3 linked regions of the Drosophila melanogaster genome follow. The protein of the gene in region 1 interacts with the protein of each later gene in a pairwise test. Each region holds a gene or a part of one and is shown in the gene's direction. Other genes may lie near its edges.

Region 1 (8,555 bases):
GCGAAAAACCTGTTTCTGGCGGGGAAATGTGCAAGCAGTATAGCTAAAAATTGATGAACTGCGTGAAACTGACCTATGTTTGGTTAAGGTTTGGTGATGTGTTTTGTTTTTATTTTTTATATCTGTTGTTGAATATTTTTTTGTCGTCCTTGGATGGGCCATTAATAAATTCACTTCGTCTGTCTATTTGGATTTCGTTCTAGCCTTTAAGCTCTTAACTGCTAACGAATCGCCATTACTAGCGAGTAACAACAAAATGGTTCATCAATAAGTTATCGATAACTTAAGTCGCACATCCGTTATTGAATAGGAATTTAAAATTTTACACCTTCAACATTAAATCTTTTTTTTAAATAAAGTCTTTTCTACAGGGCAAGCAACGTCTCGTTGACAGAAGCGTTTCCAAGCTGATCGTTGTTTGTATTTGTAAATTGTGTTTGTATTGACATTGCCTTTGACCTTTGCTAAAATATTAAAACCCTTAAATAAACAGTAAATCAAATAAATGTGATTTAAATTGTAATGAAGTATTATTCTAAAAAAATGTAAGATACATTTTTAAAACTTTAAAAAATAAACACTTAAGGTGCACGCAGGCATTCATTATTTTTGAAAATAAATATCCAAAGTGACTGGCAGCCTTCCGTCAAGACAGCTTCGAAATTACCATATCGTGTGGGCATAATGAGGACTTTCTTGGGGTTCAAAAACCGGAATCGGAAGCAGTCTTACGGTCTGCGACACCTAGCCTTGATTAATTGCCAACCGGCCACACACTCAGCCAGATGCTTAGCCGTTTATCTCGAGTGTTTTGCCATTTTACAATCTGTTGGCCAACCTGTAACCGGTCATCATAAAGGAGTTAGCCATGCACTGTCCAAAAATTGATTGTAGACCAAGAACTTAATCTCGAATTAAGTTAACTTCATATTCCAATCATTCCAAACTATTACAAATCGAAATGGATTGATTGACTAGAACGATCTTTCCGTATATTTTATTTATTTTCCGTTTTATTTTTCCGTTTTTTTCTTCAGTGTGTTCCACATCCATAGAATTACAGCAGGGCTCTAATTACGTGTGTTTGAATTGCGGCGCCCTGATTAAGGCCCTTTTGCAGGGCAATCAATCGATTTGCTGCGGAGTAATAATAACAGATGTTAAGCCAGACTCTGGAAACGGATAAGGATAATTACTGGAAATTAGTGATGGAGCTGCCGCCGAAAGGCGATCAGATTCAGTTGCCATTGGGGTGAACTTCTGGTTAATCGTGTGCAACGCAATCAGCATTCCTGAGATTTTCCGCCTGTCAGCAGATTAACAGGTGTCTCTCCGCCCCACCAAAGTGAGGCAATAGCTAAATTGTTCGCATAAATTGATTACAATAATTTGCCTATCCCCCAACATTTAGCCGCCCTCTGCGAAATGAATTCGCTGCTGGTAAAAATTCTAAGACAGCAGACAGAATAACAACAAGTTGCTCCGTCGGCTTCCATAATTTATGCAGAAATGCAGTCGAACCCAATGAAAAGTGTCGTTCACAAATCTAGGCGGTAAATTGCTTTTTGCGATTTCCAATGCACACCCACCACACGCAAATGCAAAAGTTGTCAATCAAAAATGGTCGTCAATCATGGTAGTAGTTGTTAGAAAGGAAGAGAGTAGGAAAATGTCTTTAAAAATATTAAACAAATTTATTTTTCAGTGGTTACTTCCTACAATTACGCTTATAGAAATACAAGGAAGGTTGCCAAATACCATAAATATATGTATAATTCCTTACCTTACAATCGAGTGACCACTGTAATTCTTAGCTGGGAGTAGAGAGAATGAGAGAGGGCCTGGAATGCAAATTACTATTATTACCGGACAATTGCCCTGTGCTGTGCGAGTGCATTCAAAATATTTGAAACACCACCCGAAAAGGGAAAATTGAATGGCAAGAAAAGCCGGCTGATTCATCCCACTCTAAATTATTGGGCTTACACATTCAGCAAATAAAAATGGGAGAAGGGTCGAGATTTATAAATTGGACCACATGTTCTCGCCCAGTTTTTCTACATACATATAGTATTGTATTGCTCGTCACGTCTCTGCAGCATCCTCTGCAATTAAGGCAAGGCTAGGGAAAATATACAGTCCAACATCTATAAGGAAGTACTTCCCTAAATTACAGATAGGTTGTAGTGGCACTAACTATTGCCCATTCTATATATATTACCCTTTGAACCCATCAACACCTTATTGAAAATTATTTTTTTATTATTCTGATCTGCTAGTTAAGTAAAATTTTTACTGATTTAATTTTTGTAATTTCTTGCTGGTACGCATTACTGATGTTTGACTGTATCCAACTTGCTTAAGCTAAGAAGCCATAATCCTCCTTCCGATTGTCTGTGCTTCTTCCGGGGTGCCGGAATCATCACGAGATGTAAGAAAGCCCCTGAGTCATCCATCAATCGCTGGACTAACCCTCAGAGCAAGTGCCTCCATTACCCTTCTCGGAGTTTCAGGTGCACTTGCTGTATGGATGGATAATCATCTCCTGGGGAATTGCTGCCAAGCAGCTCCATTTGCCGATTAGCCGACAGACCACCAGAGCACCACCGCACGTGGTAACGCTCGTCGGCACCATTTGAGTTATTCTGGAATTTATGTATATGCTACTTCGTAATTGCTTATCAAGCAGCTCTGCAGACCCACTGGCGTGCTGTTTTCTAATCTGGACCAAGAGAAAGGCCATTAAAACGAATGTCCAGCTGGAACGGAGTGCAAACTGCTTTGTGTAATGGTCGTCAAATGGCAATGCAGGTGGTAATTTCGTTTAATTGTTTTTACTGGCTACGTAGACTGCTTTGAATGTTAACCTAATGGTGGGCGAATGGGAACAAATTGATAAAAAAATTAAAGAAAATGAATATATATATATATATATAGGTTCTATATTAGGTTCTGAAAACAGTTTTTTATTTTTTCAAAATTTTTTGGTTGTACCACCCTAATGTATTTTCACAAATTCTGTTGATCTGGAAACATTATCTCTGCAAACTGCTCACCGTTACTTCTGTTGCGCCTGCTCTTTCGCCTTCCAGTACGAAAAGCACCGTAAGTCTCCAAAATGCAGATGAATGGAGAAGTGGACCGCGTTGGCGAGGGATCCAAGAATATTGGATCACTTTCCTCCAAGCGATGGCCGCAGTCACAAGTGAATTCCCCAGCAAACCGATCAGTTATACCAGCACCAATACTTCCGCCAAAACCTATTATCTTAAGTCCGTGAAAAAGCGGGTGACCACGTGTTTCCAGCAGTTGCGCGATAAACTCCAGTCATCCGGTTCCTTTCGCAAGAGTTCCTCCAGCTGCCTCAACCAGATCTTCGTAAGGTCCGATTTCTCCGCATGCGGCGAACGCTTTCGGAAGATCTTCAAATCGGCGCGAAAAACCGAATTGCCGGAGTTGTGGAAGGTGCCATTGGTGGCCCATGAACTCACCAGCCGGCAGAGCAGCCAGCAGTTGCAAGTCGTAGCCAGACTCTTCTCGTCCACTCAGATTTCCACCAAGGAAATCACCTACAACAGCAACAGCAACACCAGCGAGAACAACATGACCATCATCGAGAGCAACTATATATCCGTGCGCGAGGAATATCCCGATATAGATAGTGAGGTGCGCGCCATATTGCTGAGCCACGCCCAGAATGGAATCACGATATCGAGCATCAAGAGTGAGTAGCTTTATGTTTGAAAGCTTTCTTCTTTCCAGAAGTTTCGACTTCATCAAACACTTCAGAACTTTCTCTAAGTGGCTATATTTAGTTAGAAATCTAAAATGTATAAATTTTTAGTAGGTTATTAAATTTTATTTGGATTATATAACTTTTATAGTTTAGTATATTTATTTTAATTTATATTTTTTCTATGTTTCTTTTTTGTAAGATTACCCTTAAATAATTCTATAATTGAAATTCGCCAGGTGAATATCGAAAACTGACGGGCAATCCATTTCCACTGCACGACAACGTGACGGATTTCCTGCTGACCATTCCCAATGTGACCGCTGAGTGCAGCGAGTCCGGTAAGCGGATCTTCAACCTGAAAGCGAGCCTGAAGAACGGTCACCTCCTGGATATGGTGCTCAACCAGAAAGAGCGCACCAGCGACTACAGCAGCGGAGCTCCGTCCCTGGAGAACATACCACGAGCACCTCCACGCTACTGGAAGAATCCCTTCAAACGGAGGGCTCTGTCCCAGCTGAACACCAGCCCGAGGACCGTGCCCAAGATAACGGATGAAAAGACCAAGGATATCGCCACCAGGCCGGTTTCGCTGCATCAAATGGCCAATGAGGCAGCGGAGTCGAACTGGTGCTACCAGGATAATTGGAAGCATCTGTGAGTACTGAAAAGGTGTTTTGTAGACAGTGCAACTATAGCAAAAATAAACCTTTACTTAACAAAATGTACTAATCTTTCTACTGAACTCCTAGCAACAATTTCTACCAGCAAGCCAGCGTAAATGCGCCAAAAATGCCAGTACCCATCAACATCTACAGCCCCGATGCCCCAGAGGAACCAATCAATTTGGCTCCACCTGGGCATCAGCCAAGCTGCAGAACCCAAAGCCAGAAAACCGAACCGACTGAAAACCGCCATTTGGGCATCTTTGTGCATCCATTTAACGGCATGAACATAATGAAGAGACGCCACGAAATGACGCCCACGCCAACGATTTTAACCAGTGGAACCTACAACGATTCTCTGCTGACGATTAACTCGGATTACGATGCCTATCTGCTGGACTTTCCGCTTATGGGCGATGATTTTATGCTATATCTCGCCCGAATGGAGCTAAAATGCCGATTTAGGCGTCACGAACGCGTCCTGCAGTCAGGACTTTGTGTATCCGGACTGACGATCAATGGCGCCCGAAATCGTTTAAAAAGAGTCCAATTACCCGAGGGTACTCAGATCATCGTCAATATCGGATCGGTGGACATTATGCGCGGCAAGCCTTTGGTTCAGATCGAGCACGATTTTCGGCTACTGATCAAGGAGATGCACAATATGCGATTGGTGCCGATTCTAACAAATCTTGCACCGCTGGGCAACTATTGTCACGATAAGGTATTATGTGACAAAATCTACCGATTCAACAAGTTTATCCGAAGCGAATGCTGTCACCTAAAGGTCATCGACATACACTCCTGTCTAATCAACGAAAGGGGCGTGGTGCGATTTGATTGCTTTCAGGCGTAAGACTTTATACCATATACCATATCATATGAGTTTACGATTTGTGCCACTTTTCAGCTCACCACGCCAAGTCACCGGTTCCAAGGAACCCTATCTGTTCTGGAACAAAATCGGTCGGCAGCGCGTACTGCAAGTTATTGAAACGAGTCTGGAGTATTAAGTTGGGTTCTTAATCAAGATACATATATGCAAATTTTGACTGGGCTGGCACCGGAACCGACAAAATAAGAACTTTTTGATGATTTTACGATTTACGCTGATGGATCGCTGCTTTTACGGAATTCGCTTAGTTTTAATATGTTTTATATGTAGTATGTTCTCTGTCTTTGTTTATTTATATGTTCGTGCACTTGTCCTAGTCCATTATTGTATATTATTGTGTGTTTTGTGTTCTATGTTAGATTTAAACTTCTCAATTTTTCGCTGTCTGTGATTTGTTTTGCCAATGCCATTGATTTTCTGCACACTTTTTGCTGCTATCCCAAAAGCTGTGTAAAATAATCAAATGCAAAATAAGCGCAAGCAGCTGAAAACTTCTCTTCAAACTTTTCCGCTTTTCCCAAAACCATTTTGCTTTGAAATCTGTTTTTACCAAATCAGATTAAACTGCAAAATGGAACTTAAATGCAAATCATTGCAATGCTTATAAACTGTTTTTTGTTCTATATACTTTTGTGTGGGTCAAAATTCGGCATGCTCCTGTATCACACAACCTGCCACTTGCCCTTAAAAAGAAGGGCGCAGTGGGCGTGGTACGTATACATATGAGCCATGCTGCATTTTGGCCGTAATGAAAATGCACTGCTTTACTTGGAAAATTCGCTTGCACAAAATCAACGCCGCGGCTGATTTATTATTGATGTGCTCAAGCAAATTCAAGTGAAGCATTTGCGCGATTTTCGTCTTTCTGTTTCCGTTTGCAAAAAAGTTTATAAAATGCTTACACTCTGCTGCAGACACGCCAACCGGAAGTGCGCACTAAGCGCTTGTTTGTAGCACAGTGTAGAATTCTGGCGTAATTTACAGCTCTACTTTAAAGTCTTCTAGATAGCTATCTACTATTTATAAACTTATTTATTGTCTTGAATGTATGTTAATTGTATGTATTGATGGTGATCACGTTTTTTTTGTCCTATAACAAGCTGCAATGTAAAATCCAAAAAAAAAATGAAAAAATAAAATAAAAGGGAAATCAATGATTTTGTTTGCTCTAAGCTATGTTCAAAGTAACTGGGAACTAATCGAACTAATTTCGATTTAAAAGTGGTCTAGATTATATTGTGACATTTGTGAATATATTATTATATTTGCGAATTTATTATTATCATAAAAATAACGGTAGTTGAAAAATAATTTAGATGGCATGCAATATTAAAAGTTCCCGCCAAATTGGCTTGAATCTTTGCTAATATATTACAGTTTCCAACCTTGCATTAAGTTCACGATAGTTTTTCGGCATTTTCGATTGTAAAAGCATAAAAAAGTCCCTGCTATCGAAGCTCTACCACCTCCATCAGCAGGCGACGGCAAAAAAATCTTGAAATGTAAGCAGTAACGTCAAAATTCGCTTTCAAATCGTTAAACGTACGTTCTCATTCGATTTCAGAACAAAATGGCTTCATTCTTGGCACGAACTGGCGGCCCCCTGATCGAAACCGTTAGGCCAGCGGCCATAAAAAAGGTGAGTTCGCCAATTAGTAGTCATATTTGTGTGTAAAAAATGCGAAAATCCGTCGCTTTACATAATAAGGCGAAAAGAGAGAGTGAACACCTACGCTGTCCCCTTCTCTGTCTCTCACTTACTCACACATGTGAAATGCTGATCGTTTATCGGTACAAAAAAAAAACTTAAGCGATAATTTAAGTTCTTTGCCATTTGTTAACTAATTGTTTCTCCAGAGAAACGGGGAGAGTGTGAGATTTAAAGAGAGTCACGATCACCAAAGACACCTGACTTTTTTATTGTGTCAGTGTGACGCAACTGTGCGCTTTTCGTACGCATGTGTGTGTGTGGGGACCTTGAAAGCCCCATTTATTCCCCCACTTAATTTAGTTTGTTTTTTATCAATGAGCAGCTGACAACTGTTGCTTATCGTTTGTGGTTGTTGTTGCTGTTGTCGCCGGGCCCTCTAATTAAATTCTTAATCTGTGAATTAGTTTCGGTTATCACCGGGAAACGCCGTTAGCCGGACGAACTTGCTCTTAACCCAGATTTCGTTTCTTTTCGCCGCTTTTTGTTTATGTTTTTTTCACATGAATCACCGAACCAGTTTTTTTATGTTTAATTTTTGCTTGACAATGACCTCGTGACTGGAATTAAGATTTCATTTATAAGTACAATAAGTTTCGAAATCGTTTTTATTTTCATCCTTTTAAATATATTTTTAATTATTTTTCTTGTTATCTTTAATTAGCATCTAATTTTCGCAAATTAACATGGCAAAAATTCCAACCTTTTCAGATTCTTGGCCTGGCTCCCATCGCCGTCCAGCAGCTGAGGAACCTCAATGTCCAGGAACACGTTTCCTACAGTCTGCTCAATGAGGCCAAGATCCCAACACCTCGGTGAGTAAACCCAATCGGAATTATCAAAATCGCGGGCAAACAACCAACAATTTGCGTCAAAGTCGCAGTCCAAAGTTCAATGAAAGTGCCGCGTTGTCGTTGCGTCGTCTGTTTCCTTTGGCTTATGTGCGTTTTGGACTTTGCCTGAACTTAATAATATGCATTGAGTATAGCCGACTACGGGGTAAACAAACCAGAGAAACGCAGCCGCCGATGATAAGGGTGATAACAAGTTTTATACTATAACACACTTTGATCGGCGTAAAGTGACAAGGGTCAGTGACGTGGGCTTTGATAAGATGGAAGCGGCATTAGTTGACGTCTATCATAATTAAACTAACTAAATATACATAAACTTTGGGTAAAGAAAATATATTTTAATGTTTAAAATACCTGTAATTTAAATTTAAGCAATTGCAAAGCTAGAATATTTTGATTTCCATTTCGTTTGATAAATTGAGATTATTAGAATCAAAAGATAGTAGTTGCTTTTGCTATTATTCAGGTAAAATCAGGCGACTGATTTATTTTCTAAATGAGGGCTTGTCATCTCTCGAATGACCGAATAACCTTGTCTCAACTTTCAACCTTTGTGGTCTACTGATAACACGATTTACGTGAAATGTTCCTATCAACAATCAATCAGGAACATCGTAAAGAGCGCACCCCCAAAATTATTTCGCGTACTGAGTGATTCATTTTTTTGCAGTTTCGCTGTTGCCAAGAACGGCAAGGAGGC
Region 2 (7,527 bases), on another chromosome or scaffold:
TTGAACGTTTTCGTAAGCATTGAGATGACTGGACAGTCAGTGCAATTCGAACAAAAATTCAACTATCGCCGGCCCATGTACGCTATAATGGAGTTCCTGTGGACCAAACCCGAGCACGTTCAGTGCTTTCGTGACCTGGCAGTCGAAGCGGAGCAGAATATGGATGCCATTGAGCCGCCCATATTTCTGCGCTTCATTAATCTGCTTATCAATGATGCCATCTTTCTGTTGGACGAGTCGTTGTCCAATCTGGAGCAGATCAAACAGCTTCAGCAGGCGCAGGACAATGGTGAGTGGGAAAGCCTACCGCACACTGAGCGTGAGCAGCACATGACGAACCTCCAGCACCTGGGCATGCTAGCTCGATTTGACAACATTATCGGTAGGGACACCATAAATCTCCTCAAGCTGCTCACCTCGAAAATCAAAAGCATTTTCTGCCACAACAGCATGGTCGATCGCATGGCAGCCATGCTGAATTATTTTCTGCTGAATTTGGTTGGCCCAAAGAAGGAGCGCTTCAAGGTAAAGGACAAGAAGGAGTTCGAATTCGATCCGGCTCAGACGGTGATCGAGATCTCTCACATCTACATCAACCTAAGCTCCGATGAGAGCTTCTGTTTGGCCGTATCGCAGGATGGACGTTCATACAGCGAACAGCTCTTCAGCTATGCCGAGAACATCCTGATCCGAATCGGAGGCGGCCAACTTATAGGCGACATGTCCGAGTTTGCTGTGAAGGTAGCGCGTATGGGTGCTCAATACAAGGAGGAGCAGGAGCTGCTGGCTGATGCGCCGGAAGAGTACCTCGATCCGATTATCTCAACGCTTATGACCGACCCTGTGGTGCTGCCCAGCTCCAAGGTAACAGTGGATCGTTCCACCATCGCCCGTCATCTTCTGAGCGATCAGACCGATCCCTTTAACCGCGAACCGCTCACCATGGATAAGGTCAAGTCCAACGAGGCTCTGAAGCAGGAAATTGAGAGCTGGATTCAGGGCAAGCGGGAGGCGGCCCGCTCGAACAGTTGAGGTAGCAGCGAACCCGCAGCTGCTGGCTCAGTTGCCCAACCAAAGAGTTAGCTCCACGGGGATTCGGTTGTTAGGGCAATAATCAATGTTTTTTTGTTCATAAGAATTCCAGTCATACATGGTGGTATGTGTATGTGCAGTTTTATAATTAGTGGTTTTTAAAATGTATTCTTAATCCATTTTTTCCTGTCAACCGAATTAATTAACAAACAATGTGTACGAATAACATGCAAAGGATAAATTATTGTAGTCATATTTGGTTTTGTGTTCACAATATGTTTACATATATGTTTAAATAAACGGCGTTTCGCTGAAAAAATGTGTATATTCAATTAATTCATCAAATGAAAATATCTATAATGCAAATCGACAGCATATGTTTTATTAAATCCAATCTCTAATTGTCTTTTTTCGCTCCATTGGTTTCTACGGCAGATCCATTGTCCATGTCGTGACTTACTGATTCACGGAATCGATTGAAGTAGCGACGACCAGTTAGGTACCACAGCGCCTCGTGATAGCTTCTGGGAAGGATCTCCGGAACTGCTTTGCTGCAGGAGTAGGTCAGGTGCAGCACATTGCACTTAAGCTCCGTAAAGCTATTGCCATCGATTGCATTCACCACCGTCAGCAGCTGAATGTAGTTTTCGTGGGTGAAAACCACGTACGCCTTCAGTTTTATATAGCTATGGACGGGAATGGAATGGGCGAACGTAACGTCCGCAATGAAGCGGATCATGCAACGCTGGTTGGAGTAGAGGGAGGCTGTCATGTAGCTAATCTCGATAGCCTTGCGGATGATGAACCCTCCGAAAATGGTGTTCGATTCGTTTCGGTTCTCCGGGAACGGATGCATCAGGGTTCTGCGGCGCCACGTGGACATCCAGCGGGAATTCGGTGGTAGAGTAGTCATATCACTCGGCGAAGGTCCGTCATCGCCCTTGGTTCGGGTAAATAGCTCGTACATGAGCTGCTGTTCCTCCTTGGTGGGCTGCTGCGACTCCAGGCGATACAACGCTTTGGCACGCTCCTGGTGCCGCTTCTGCGCTTCCTGGTGTAAACTTTCTTCCAGCTCATTGGCCGGCACCAGAGGATTGACAGGAGCAGGGCCATTATTGATGGCATCGCGAGCCTCTACCACAAAAATGCCCTTTGCCAGCAACATTCCGCTTTGTCGCACATATGCCGTGACCTCCATGAAGTTATTGTCCGTATATGAAACGTGACCGGAGAGGGACACATCTGCATCCGCAATAAACTTGTCTTGCAAGAAGTGGGCGTGGTCCACCAGCATGGTGATAAAAGTGTATGGCAGCGGCACACCCTCCGGCAGATTGGGCAGATGGATGTGAAGATGGCAGATCCACACTGCAAGGCCACTCTCATTAATCAGGTATTTGGAGTAGTTAGTTAGTATACTTTACTTACTTACCTGCAAGAAGGTCAAGTTCCTCAATTATCCTGCCCATGCGAAGCAAGCCTCGCCCGTAAACGAATCGTTGCCTCAACAGAGCATCTGTTTCCAGGAGCACCTGGGCAGTCGTTTGTGAGTCCAGCATGGAGCGATTGGGCAGTTCGTCTTGCTTCGGCTGAAACTTGAGCAGTCCATCCCGGCTCTTGGGAATGATGTGGTAGCCTCCTTCCACGCCGACGTGCTCACGGATTTTCTTCGCCACTGTGCTTGGTATTGGGAGTTGGATAAGTGGACGATAATGTGGAGGTTTACCCGCGGTTACCATCTGCCATCGTGCCCGAGCGGTGCCCCGAATCCAGCAGCTCCCTCCCGGATTCCATGAACGAGTGACGAATTGCACCCAGTTGGTGCCACGGGTGTCGCACGGCGATCACCCTTCTGCCAAAGTGCTGGCTCAAATTCATTTAAATTTTGGGTTTGTGTGCTCCGCTATATTCATATGTATAGTTGTCAAATAATAAGATACAGTACGTTAAAATCGTTTGCACTTAATTTTTTAAATTTGTAACAGAATAACGGCTTTTATGTAATCGAAATCTTAAGAATCACAAGTACTAGTTTCCAAAGTTATCACGTTCCAGGCTTAGCTACTTTCTGTTGTCAAAAGTAAATGTCGTAGCGCATTATTAATAAATTCGCTGTTTTGTTTAGGAATCAAAGAATTAACTATTTGAAAGCTGTATAAGTCGCAGATCAGTGTTTGTCAACACTGGTCAATCCATCCTCCATCTTCCACCATTCGCTTTCGGTATTTTTTCCTATTCCTGTCCTGCTTACTCATCGTAGCAGCGCCGAATAACGGATCCTAAGATCGAACGAACCTGTGCTAAACGTGATTTCGTTCAATTTCTCATACATTTCAATATATTTGACCCGATCAAAAGTACTCGTTTTAAGTTTTAACCAAAAAAAAAACCAACAATTAGTGAGTATGGACCCTATGAAAGAGGAGGCGATCGAATTGAATGGCCATGCTATGCAAATGGCCGAAGCTGAGCAAGAAAATGGCGCTGGCGCCCTGAAAATTGCCACCAATGCGGGTGCAACCGATCGTCCAGCGCATCAGCAGCTTCCGCTGCCAGTCGAAGATCAGCAGGATGAGGTGCTGACCCCCGCTGAGAAGGGCAAGTTCGAGTACCCGCCCCCTCCACCGCCACCAACTCCAGTCCAGGCTCCGCTAGCCACCAAGGCCACCGCTCTGAATGCCAGTCAAGAGCATGACGACGACGAGGCCAACTCCGAGAAGTGGGAGGATCCGTGCGCTCCGCCCCCGCCTCCTCCGCTGCCGACTAGCGCTTTCCTGGCCACCGGACTGGGCTACCTCAAGCTGCCCGCCTTCAAGCTGAAGGACGCACTGGAGAAGGCCATCACCAAGTTGGAGGCCAACAAGCGGACGCTAAAGGCCAGCCCTGAGGTGAGTTCATTACATATAACATTTTTAATTTTATTATTAGCAGTGCACACTGTTGTCAGATTATATATTTATATTGAAATACATTTTAAATTTAACTTTTCTTGAGTCAAACTTGATATTAGTCTAAAATCTTCGCAATATTTATTGGCCAACAAAGCACAGTATTAAACACGTAAATGGTATTAGGAATCAGAGCAGCTCTGATACAAATGTCGTTAAAAATTTAGTTAAAGAAACTTTGACTTGGCATTCATATATTCGACACTTATTTTACATCGAGTACAGACAGGCACTCTCATATATCATGAAGTTTTTTCAATGTTGTTTTTATTTTGGCAAACAGTCTTCTCGTTCCATCAAAAACAAGAATGTGGTGGCCCTGGAGATGTTACCCAGGCGCTCAAACCCAGAAACGATCGGCGATGGATCCATGTTGGCATCCACATCCACGGCTGTTATGCTGCAGACCAAAAAGCCCGCCGTTATTGTGGAGATGGAGAGGCGTTGTAAGATCATCAATTTACTGGCCAAACAGAATCAAATCCTCGAATCCATTTCGGGGGAGGCCATTCCGATGCATGGACCCTCGAAGCATCTGCACGAGGACGAGGGTCTGACCCTGCAAGTTCTCTCGGCCCGAGCATCCACACCGTACACACAGCCCTCCAGCATGTTGTCCTGCACGGCCGTTAGTTGTGACCTGGAGCACGATTCGCCGCGGAAGCAAGTGGCCAGCAAGGAGGCCGTGCCGGAGCAGCAGTCTAGTCAGGTGCAGCAAAAGCGTCCACCCAGCACAGGCATTCACAAGCCAGGAAGTCTGCGAGCACCCAAGGCTGTTCGTCCTACTACTGCTCCGGTGGTCAGCAGCAAGCCGGTCAAGAGCTATACCCGCTCCCGCCTGATGGACATTCGCAACGGGATGTTCAATGCCCTGATGCACAGGTCCAAGGAGAGCTTTGTGATGCCTCGCATCGCCACCTGCGACGACATTGAGTTGGAGGGAAGGCTTCGCCGCATGAATATTTGGCGCACCTCGGACGGCACAAGATTCCGGACCCGCTCCACCACAGCTAACTTAAACATGAACAACAACAACAACAATGAGTGCATGCCTGCCTTCTTCAAAAACAAAAATAAGCCGAACCTAATCAGTGACGAGTCCATCATCCAGAGCCAACCGCCCCAGCCGCAAACGGAGTTCCAAGTAAGCTAGTTAAACTTATACTATTCTACTCAATTTTGCCATATATTCTATATAAAATAGACTTGGTTAGCTTAATGGAAAACTTATGATTTGAAAAGGAAAAAGTGATTGTGACAGTGCGGTAATTGTTACAGTTACACATGGCGTCGATTCATTTGAGTACCTCGACCATCTGATACCCCTTCCTTTGTAGGCCAAATTGTCTTTTTGGTCTGCTCAGAAAAGCTCTTTTATGAAAAATCATATTTCCCGCCTTTTCTGCTTAGAAAAAATCGCTTAATCGATTAAGAACATTTTCCCCACTTTTGCATTAGGTAACACAAAGTCGCATTATTCCTGAGCTTATCTGATAAATCAATGATTGCATTGCATGACCTCCAGAGGTCTTTGGCAATCATGCTGATCATTGGCTGGACCCTCGCCACAGTCAAATCACTAATCTAGAACATTTTACAACTGATTGCGAATAAGTATGAAGTAATTACTACAGTCGTATTAGACTATTTCCTTTTATTGAATTCTAAACCATCTGGGATTCTACAAATACCCTCGAGCGAAATCACTTCTCTAGATAATGACACTTTCCATCGACCTCCCGCAACCTTTGGGCTGCCTGTTCGGGAGTCAGATCCCGCTGGGCCATGGCCAGCAGCTCAAATCCCACCATGAACTTGCGCACGGAGGCAGAACGAAGCAGCGGCGGATAGTAGATGGCGTGCAGGGTCCAATGAGCACTGGATGCGTGGGCATGCTCCGGCCCAGTCGGTGCTCCATGCCAACCCATCGAGTAGGGGAATGAACACTGGAACAGATTGTCATACTTGGTGGTCAGCTCCTTTATGGTCAGCGCCAAGTTGTATCGCTGTTCTGCGGTAAGATCATTGATCCGCTTATTGTTGTTGCGTGAGATGAGCATGGTTTCGAAGGGCCAAGTGGCCCAGAAGGGCACCACCACCAACCAGTCGCGATTCTCAATGACAATCCGCTCCTGGCGCTGCAGCTCACGCTCCACATAGTCGGCCAGCATGGGCCGCTCGTTGGTGGCGTAGTAGGCACGCAGACGCTCCTGCTTCAGTTGCGGTTCCGTCGGCAGAAACGAGCATGACCAGATCTGGCAGTGCGGATGGGGATTGGAACACCCCATGGCGGCTCCCTTGTTCTCGAATATCTGCACCCACGCGTACTTGGCGCTAAGCTCGTTGAACTGGCTGATCCACCTAGATAGGCAGTTAGATAAAAAGTGGGTTTATTATTTTGAGTATCTTCTGATATAAACCATAAATCCTCCACTTACTCGTCGATAACAACGACGATTTCCGCTGCACTCATCGTGGGCAAAGTCAGATTCGATTTGGGATGGAAGCACATCACTCGGCAGTTGCCACGGGCGGGAGCTATCTGGAACAGTGGATCATCGTTGTTGGGCGGAACGGGCACCACCTCCACCAGGGCCGGGAAGTCGTTCTCAAACACATAGGTGCTCTCATATTCCGGAGTTTGCTGATCATTTACAAAATATACACGTGAGAATGCTTAAAACATTTGCGAGGATTTAGTTTGGTCGCTTACGATTCCATTGGGTCTGGTGACGCCAGGGCACAGAGGATTGGTGGGATCGAATTCGGGCAGCTCGTTCTTCTGCGCCTTCTCCTGCTGACCCGACCAAGGGCGTTGGGTGCGATGTGGGCACACTAGGACCCATTGGCCGTTCAACGGATTTAGACGTCGGTGCGGGTGCTCTGCAATGACATTCGATTTTAATTAAGATTGAGCAGCGATAAACCAGACCATTGATTTGGAACTAATTGTTGATCAACATATGACCATTCGCCATAGAAACTGAATCAAATTGGCATGGTGGAACTTCTTTTAAACCTACCACTGGCCACAAACTGCATCGTGTCGAAAGACTGGCGCTCCGTATCACTCCGATCGGATTATGACTACTTCAGATTCACGGGACAAGCCCAATGTCAACCTGCCGCGTTGCGATTACAGCTCCTAATGCTGCTGATATTGGTGTTCCGATTGTGATTCTGCTTTTGCTTCTGAATCCGATTCCAGTTGAGCTGTTTTTCGCTTAGCAAAGCGCGCTTCTTCAGCTACATTCCTCTCTTTTCTCTCTTCGGATTATTCCGCTCACTCTGCCGGCGAGCGTTTAGTTTGAGTTTGGCACGCATTCCGCCTTTCAGTGGAAGAATTTTCCATCAGCCTTATCTCTCCCACTCAGCTGGGCGTTCTGATATGGGTGTGTAAACAGTGTGAGCGCGATTGTGTGTGCCGCTAGTGATGCGCGGTGGTCGATAAGACGTCCATAGAGATGGCTGTTTAATGTTTAAATAAGTATAGTTATATTTATATTTTATGCAGTATCTGTTTGCCTAATTATTGTGATTGGAACAA
Region 3 (7,789 bases), on another chromosome or scaffold:
GAACACTTGTGTTCCTCGTTGGATCATCCAATATTTAAAATGATGCTTTGATGGAATGCAAAATCTATATGGATTATATATTTTTTATTGTGGTATATCAAATTTGAAATTTTAAAAATCTTCATTCAAGATCAAGAAGACTTTCATTGTTCTATTCAATATTTCGCATCACTTTTCATTCCTTCCGCTGGGAACTATGATTTAAAAACAGTTTTATTATTTCTTTGCCTTCCGAAGCATCTTTATTACAATTTTATACTGAATGCTAAAACAGTTTTGAACGTCTAAGTAGAATTTAAAAGATTTTTAAACATGTATGTACACTGAAAAACTTCTTCTGATCATCTTCTTTATCTTCAGATTTTTTTATAAAGAACTCGATTCTTTGAATATCAGCATTTATTGTATTAGTAAATCTCAATTTGCTATAGTGATAGGACCAATATTGATTTTTTATATATAGCTTCGTCTTATCAGCACAATATCAAAAAAAATTTTCACTGTGATCTTCGCATATGTTTGTATCTTGGTTTTGTTTGCCCTTTCTCACTGCGGAGGGGCCACTGTGTTCGTTTGTTTGTTATTTGTGTATTTGCTTAGTTTGTTTTCGCTAACGTTTTGCGTAATTCGTTTCCTCTGCCGCGCCGCTGCCGCCGCCAAAGGTGCTGGCCAACGAGAGATTGGAGGAGGCTGTGGACAACTTGGCCACCAGGGACTTGACCATGTTTCGCCCGGCCGAAGTCTCAGTGGGTACTGCTCCTGCTCATTGGGAAAACGCTGGCTGGAAAAACTCTGGAATTCTGGAACTCTGGTCACCGAAGTGTCAACAGAATCAGTGTAGCATTCCGGGCCTCTCTGTTGTGTGTGTGTGTGTTGACATTTCCATTGGGACGCGGACGATGACGAGAGGGTGTTGGTGCTGGAGGGGGCACACAATGGGGGACAAACAATACATAAATTCCACAACGATTTTTCGCGACGCTATAGATTTAATTAAATTCTAGCGGAGAACGATGCGCGATCATGGAATGAATAAAAGCGAATGAGAGCGTGGAAACGATTCGAATGCTCTCACGGTGACTCTCTTTTTCGACTGGACTGGATTGTCGCAGTTTGTTCAATTGAAATAATAAACAAAAACACACACACACACTCTTTGAGGCACTCGTGTGTACACATAGATTTCACTCTATTATTTAGTGATTTTTGTGGCGCAAAATACAGTACAGAAAACGAGCAGCTCTCTCGGCCATTGTTGATCTTTTTTGGGAAAACTGCAACACCTGCGACGCCGGCGCAGCAGCTGCTATTCGATTGGCGGATGCTGTCTGAGACGCTTATCGATAAGCCGGGTCTAGCATTGAATCGAGGGATCGATCAATAGGATATATCGGAATTTGAAAAGCTAGCTTCGGCCAGAAATAAACCTAAAACGTTTAGTTTTACTTAATGGTGAGGAATTTACTTTGTCCCTGCTCATAAGTATGATTAGCTTTTTAAGTAAACAAAGGAGAACGCTATGGTCGAATTACGCAGATAATAGAAGTGCGAGGGAGATGCAGGAAGGAAAGTAGAAAAGTTGACTGACAAAATATTTACCACCTAGAAAAGGTCTATCATGTCTCTACAACATGGCGTATGAGTGTAATTTGATATGCAGTGCTGTTAAAAGGGCAAAGTATCTTTAAAGAGAAACAATTTAGGACAGTTTTTCTTTTACTGATTTCAGAAATATTACTTTAGAACTTCGAAGTAGGGATGCCTGTGTTCAAAATACATAATATACCCTAATTCAATTGACAATACCAAATAAATTCGTTGTTGACATAAAACACTGCAATTTAAATCAATGTGAATGGCTTGCGTTTTTAGTTGATAATTTCATCATTCCTCACTAGCAAAAATTTCAAGAAAAAAAATTTCTTCCCACAAGAAGAATTACTTTAAAAAGACTTTATAGATGAAAAAATTCCGTTTTAAGGTGTTATTTGTATTACTTACATTTACAAGGACTCGTTTTCTTGCGCAGCGTCTGCATTTTGCTCAGAAAAAGCTGATTGGCATTCGTGTAGTAATTCCTTTGGCCGCGTATAATGTTGCGAATAATGATTGAGCCTTAAAGAGCTTTATTTATTTATGATTTATTGGACTTCCTTCGTTGTTTTATTGCTAATTGCCTTTTGTGATTTGTTTACACTTGTTTCGCTCTTTGCGTCTTCCGTCTCTTTCGCACTCCCCAACTTCCTGACAGTCAGCGTTTTGTTGTTGTTGTTATTGTGCCAGTCGGTCGATAGAACACACCGGCATTTGTCTCACTCACACTCGCACGCGCTCACACGGACACGGCACGGATTATCGATTTTCCAACGGGGGCCTCTGTGTGCGTGTTTACTTCCACTTTGCCTACTTTAAGGCGTTGTGGGGGGTGGGAAAGGGATGTAGCTACGCCTTTCATTATGCAGCGGTAAGCTATCTAACTTCAATTAACTGTTATTCGTTGTTTTTGATCCTTTCCCGTCTTAATATTGCACAACACGCGCAGCTTTCTTTGTCTGGCAGCCAGGAAAAAAAGTGAAGCACAAAGAAGTGGGTGACACACTCGTGATTTTGGCTGAGCGAAAAAACCAATTCGACTCTTTTGGCAAATATTTACAAGCTGATTTTTACGTTCTTCCTGCTTTGCATGTTATTGGCCATTAATTTAACCCAATTTGAATGGGTTTGTAGTTTAATTTGGGTCCTACGCCCTGGGAGCAGCAGGATATGCACACACACCGAAAATTCGATAGTAAAACTCCAAGGATTCGAGGGTGGTGGGTCAAGTGCCGCGGGCACCCTGTACGCCAGCCGGTACATAGGCTATCGGTCTATCGACGACAACCGATAGGTAATTGCTCGTACTTGCGGTACACACAATTACATATGTTTATACAAAGGTTTGACATAAATTGAAACTATAATAGTAAATTTCTCTGTTAAGCTTTGATAGAAAAAAAAAATGTAAAGATTTTATACCAAGGGTACCTTAAAGTTCGATTAGCTATCAAGATATTATGTCGTTAAAACTCGTATAACCGTTGAAGATCCTTTTTTAAATGATGATTTAAATTTTCTTGGTATTTTCTACAATCGAATAGATGGTCACACTGCAAAGCAATTTCTCCACAAAACAGTGGCGCCATTACGGCCGAAAAGAGAACTCAAAAACATAGCAAGACATCGAAAAATATTGCACCACAACCTTGCAACGGTCACTTTGCTCGCAGTCTGCTGCGGTCACTCTATTCGAACGGAACGGAATATTTATCGCGGATTGTCGCGTTATTTCGTTTGTGTCGCGCCTCCATCAAACTCACCTTAAAAATTAACACTCAAATCGTAGATTACGAGCTCTGTGCGGTGTTATCAAAAATAACGGAATTAATTCATTACGGACGCCTACGCCAGTCGTTCTTCCTCTTTTTCCACTGCGCGCGTCGCTTATTTTTACCTGCAGCGCAGTCGCGACAGCTGAAAATTAATAAAACGAAGAGAAAAGTGTAAATTGGATCACAATTGGTAACAAAAAGTCTATGCGATCGATCGCCAGTTGTTTTATACATCAACAACAACAAAGCAAACCAGTTATTAGATGTTTTTGTGAATAGTGTAAATCAAATTCTCGGCTCATACCTACACACACACCAAATACATTCCCGTAGTTCCTATTCAGATCCGATCGGTTCTTCGACTCGCAGATCACAGAAAATATGCAAAATTAAGCCAAGAGGAGCGTAAATTCGTGCGCAAATCGTGGGCGCAAAAGTGTCGTCAAAACGGGGAAAATAATCAAAGTTAACAGTAATATCCTGTTGTGTAAATAAAAGGCTTATACATACACACACAGTCGCAGAAGCAACAAACAAAGGAGGAAAAAGCGGCAAGATGAATAAAACCTGTGCCCGTTGCCAAAAGGTGGTTTACCCCATCGAGGAGCTTAAGTGTCTGGACAAAGTGAGTTACATTCCCTATGCATATGTAGACTATTTATCCTATTCAAATTCTATAATGTTCGCGGTGGCTCCTTTTTCCGTTTTAAGCCGCTCTTTTGTGCACTTGTTGCGGGCGCAAGAACGAGACGGCTAGCTAGCACATGGCCGTGGGTTCTGCTCTCCCGCTCCCTCTCCATGATTTTATCCCTTCCCCCATTGATCATGCGTGCCTTTTTGTATTTTTGTTGCTCTGCTTCTTCGGTGTTTATTATCCTATGCTTAATAACCGCAAAAGTTGTTTGGCTGCTTTGCCATTCGCTTCGCGGAATTCAAATATTTACTCGAAAATAACGGCGCAGCCTCGCGCGCGTCCCTGTGTGGGTGTAATGGCACTATTGCACTGAGAAAAATCACAAGATCGCTCTTTTAATACGATTTTCATTTCCACTGGAAAAAGAAGATGAAAAAAATCTTTATTTATTTTTATATTTTATATTTTGATAAAATATATATAATTTTCTACAAATTATAAAATCTATTTTTCTATTATACCATTTGATTCTAAGTGATATAATCTTTTCGTATCCCACGATCGATGCAATTGATCAGTTCAGCATTTTTGCTCAGTGTAGTAATGCGCGGGTGGCGACAACCAACAGAAATTACTGCTCACATTTTCGCCAACTCAGGAAATTTCTACAATTGCTTTTAATTTACGTTTGCCGCCGCCGCTTCCGCTGGCAGAATTTTCGGGCTCCCTCTCTAATTATATCGTGGCCTCTCTTTCCCGCAGCGGCGCTTGTTGCATTTCAATTCTTGCGATCTTGTGTCTTTTTCGCACGGCTTTTTTGGTTGCAGCCGCTTTTGTTGTTGTTGTAGTTCTTGTTATCTTTCGAAAAGCAACAAAAGCAAATCCGTTGACCGACCTTGAGCGCATATTTTCGAGACTTGAGACCAGTTTTTTTTTACTGCGTTCTCCACACACACGTACACACACACTTACGCTTAAAATCTGACACAGTGGTATTCGCGAAATTAGCAGCAGCTGGCGAAATGAAAATATAATTTTTTTATTTTATTTTTTATGTTTGAAAGTGCTGATTATCTTAATTCTATTTCCGCTTAAAAGTGTTTTGATAAAATACATATATATTTAAATATTTATTTTTTTCACCTAACTAATTATTTGATTTACTCAAATTTCTTGATAAATTTTTGAATTCTCTAGAATATTTTTAAATGAAAATACTTCGTTTACCGGAAATAAACACCGTTTTTGCATTCTTGGAAATCGTTGAGCTTAACGGTTTGTACCGTTAAGAGTTTAAATTGCAATGAATAGTATTCAAATAAAAATGGGAAAGATTCGTTTTTCTTAAGAAAGAAGTAGGATACAACATAGATTTTATAAGTTGGAAATTTGTTTTGTAGCTGAGCAATTAGACTGAATACTGTTGCTTTTACGAGGAGAAGACTATAATTAGTTGGCGCTTTTCAAACTGTAGATTTGCATAATGTTTGTACTATATTGACAATTAGTTTTCCAACTAAACGACTAAACACAGCTGTAGTTGCACGCAAAGTGGGGCTTTCGTTTCTCATGTTCAATGTGCCCATGGGCTTATTGGTTTACGCCTAATCCAGTTTATTTTAAGCGAACTTATATTTGCCTCTAAGTCTGGGGGCTTTTCACCAATTGCAGTTCCATTTTATTTTCGCCCTTGGCTGGGCTGTCTATCAGTCTGTGTTTACGTTTCGAGGGCCTGTGTTATTGTTGTTCCCACGAAATTTGGAAGCTGATAACGCAGCTATCGAGCCGAGCCACAAACATTTACATTACGAATCGCTTGGATCGGCTCGGCTTCCCCTTTGAATCGAATTGAATCCATCAACGAATTCCGATTGCCAATCAGTTTCGAGTATATCAGCAGCGTTGAAACGTGTCAATCTTGCCCCGTATAGAACTAATACCCCTTCAGCGCCAAGAAGCACATCCTAATTATAGTCTCGTCTTTCTAGAGTTTCTTCTTCTTCATCTTCTTCTCCCCTTCCGAGTCAGCAATTTCGATTCTAATTATAGACAATGGAGTAATGAAGACTATTTTAAAGTCACAAGACAGACGCACTGAAGTCGGTTATAAAACATTTATGTATGTGCGTCTGTGTGTGTTTTTCGCCTAATGGAAATGCTGAAACTTGTAAACACAACGTTTGATGGGTATGAAGTGAGGGAGTTGTGTGTGTGTGTGTGGGGGGGGGGGGGGGCGAAGTTTGAGGAGCATAAGTTTACCTTTACATTAAATTGCATTAGTTCACTTGTGTAGTTTCGTGTTCAACTTGCGCCTGCCTTCTGTTGCCGGGTGTGTCTGCCATTGCGAAACAATTTAAATGCATGCATTTCACAACAGGCTTTAAAGTTGAGCAATAGATCGCCAGCCATATGAGGTCAGAGGCTTGACAAAATAAATGATTGCTATGCGGAGGGGATCAATCATATTTTTATTTTGCCAGCCGCTCAGCGCATTACTAATTGGGGATATTTTTTTTTTGAATTTTTCTCTAGTGATTGTAGGAAGGGGATGCAGTAGTTTTTTAAAAACAGGAATTTGTGGAATTTATGTATATTTTTATATTTATAACGCAACCGTAATCTAGTGATTTTAGCTATTTAATCTAGGTATTTATTACGAGATTTGTTGCTTAACATTTCTGTTAAACCAATACCCACTGTACTTGCAATTTATAGCAATACAAACCCCCTGACTAATAAAAGCCTATGAGATCAGAAGCCAAGCTCGAACTATTGTTTTCCGACTTTCAAGTCCAGTTTGCTTACGCAATGCTCGTGTGATTGTTTTCCATCATTAAAAACGAACAAAGCATTAATTCATTGAATGGGGAGATACTATAAATTTTGCACTTTTCCCTGAATCGCCGTTACTTAAACAGCAATATAGAATTATAGGGACTGTTCAGAGCGAGATTTTCCTTGGCTGCTATCTGCACGTGACACATCCTGATATCCTGATATAGAAATCGATACTCGTGACAGCAATAAACGGCTATTTTATACCAATTATCTCTTATTTCCTTCCACCTCGCATAGATACACATACATTCGTACATAGATATGAGCGCATAGAGAGATTGGCACGCGAATTCGTTTGAAGAAATGCCTTTTTAAATGTGCCGTTAAAGTTTTGCGGCTTTATGCGGCGCATTGCTGCCGGCGCTTTGTTAATCGATTTTTGATACGAGCAAAAAAAATTAAAAACCAAGCGATTCGGAATGGAGAAGTCAACTCGACTGCTAGCCCATAAAGTTGGGCCTCCTGTAGCCGTGCCTATATCCTCTGTGCCTGTCGCTTCTGTTGCCAATTTCATTTATCTCTCAGCTTTATATTCTTCTTCCTGTCTTATATTGCATTTGATAAAGGAAGGGTATACTGGAATACAGATAAATGATGTGGGATTTCTTAGAATATCATTAGATATGATTGCAGAAACATATTATAACCTATATAACTCCTTAAAAGCCATAACGATGTTTTTGGGTGAATTGTTTATTAACTGAACCTTAATATTTATGTACTCTTAGTATATTATAATTTTATAATTAATTTTTAATTTAGCTTAAAAGACTGAAGACTGAAGATGGTATGGTTAGAAGATACCTGACATTTATTTCAAGCTTTTTTTCATTATAATGGAATTTGCTAAGAGTATCTTCTAGTTGGAATCCCATCTTTCTGCTTTACCAATAGTAGTCATTGTTGCACTTGGGCTTTATTTTGCACGAAATATGTGAGTTTGACTTTT

The links.
Region 2: the proteins of osk (region 1) and cup interact in a two-hybrid assay, tested with the Drosophila melanogaster proteins (one study listed by BioGRID).
Region 3: the proteins of osk (region 1) and Lasp interact in a two-hybrid assay, tested with the Drosophila melanogaster proteins (2 studies listed by BioGRID).

What each region holds. Positions count from the first base shown.
Region 1 is NT_033777.3:8,931,957-8,940,511, forward strand, and holds osk (oskar), read left to right. Parts: upstream 1-3,169; 5' UTR 3,170-3,189; coding exon 3,190-3,724; intron 3,725-3,759; exon of another isoform or gene 3,760-3,843; intron 3,844-3,972; coding exon 3,973-4,390; intron 4,391-4,485; coding exon 4,486-5,250; intron 5,251-5,308; coding exon 5,309-5,411; 3' UTR 5,412-6,439; downstream 6,440-8,555. Other genes in the region: ScsbetaA (Succinyl-coenzyme A synthetase beta subunit, ADP-forming), read left to right, coding at 6,864-6,932, 7,713-7,816, 8,526-8,555. UniProt on the Drosophila melanogaster protein: Organizes the germ plasm and directs localization of the posterior determinant nanos. Oskar protein is required to keep nanos (nos) RNA and staufen protein at the posterior pole.
Region 2 is NT_033779.5:6,660,668-6,668,194, forward strand, and holds the start of cup (cup), read left to right. Parts: upstream 1-2,996; 5' UTR 2,997-3,482; coding exon 3,483-3,920; intron 3,921-4,263; coding exon 4,264-5,124; intron 5,125-5,596; exon of another isoform or gene 5,597-5,683; coding exon of another isoform or gene 5,684-6,341; intron 6,342-6,418; coding exon of another isoform or gene 6,419-6,624; intron 6,625-6,693; coding exon of another isoform or gene 6,694-6,863; intron 6,864-7,003; coding exon of another isoform or gene 7,004-7,022; exon of another isoform or gene 7,023-7,366; intron 7,367-7,527. Other genes in the region: Ube4A (ubiquitination factor E4A), read left to right, coding at 1-1,032; CG13771 (uncharacterized protein), read right to left, coding at 1,430-2,400, 2,465-2,707, 2,769-2,910; Galt (Galactose-1-phosphate uridylyltransferase), read right to left, coding at 5,684-6,341, 6,419-6,624, 6,694-6,863, 7,004-7,022. UniProt on the Drosophila melanogaster protein: Adapter protein that plays a central role in localization of transcripts in the oocyte and in young embryos. Maintains RNA targets in a repressed state by promoting their deadenylation and protects deadenylated mRNAs from further degradation.
Region 3 is NT_037436.4:16,707,147-16,714,935, reverse strand, and holds the start of Lasp (lasp), read left to right. Parts: upstream 1-3,258; 5' UTR 3,259-3,924; coding exon 3,925-3,993; intron 3,994-7,789. Other genes in the region: Dab (disabled), read right to left, coding at 616-724.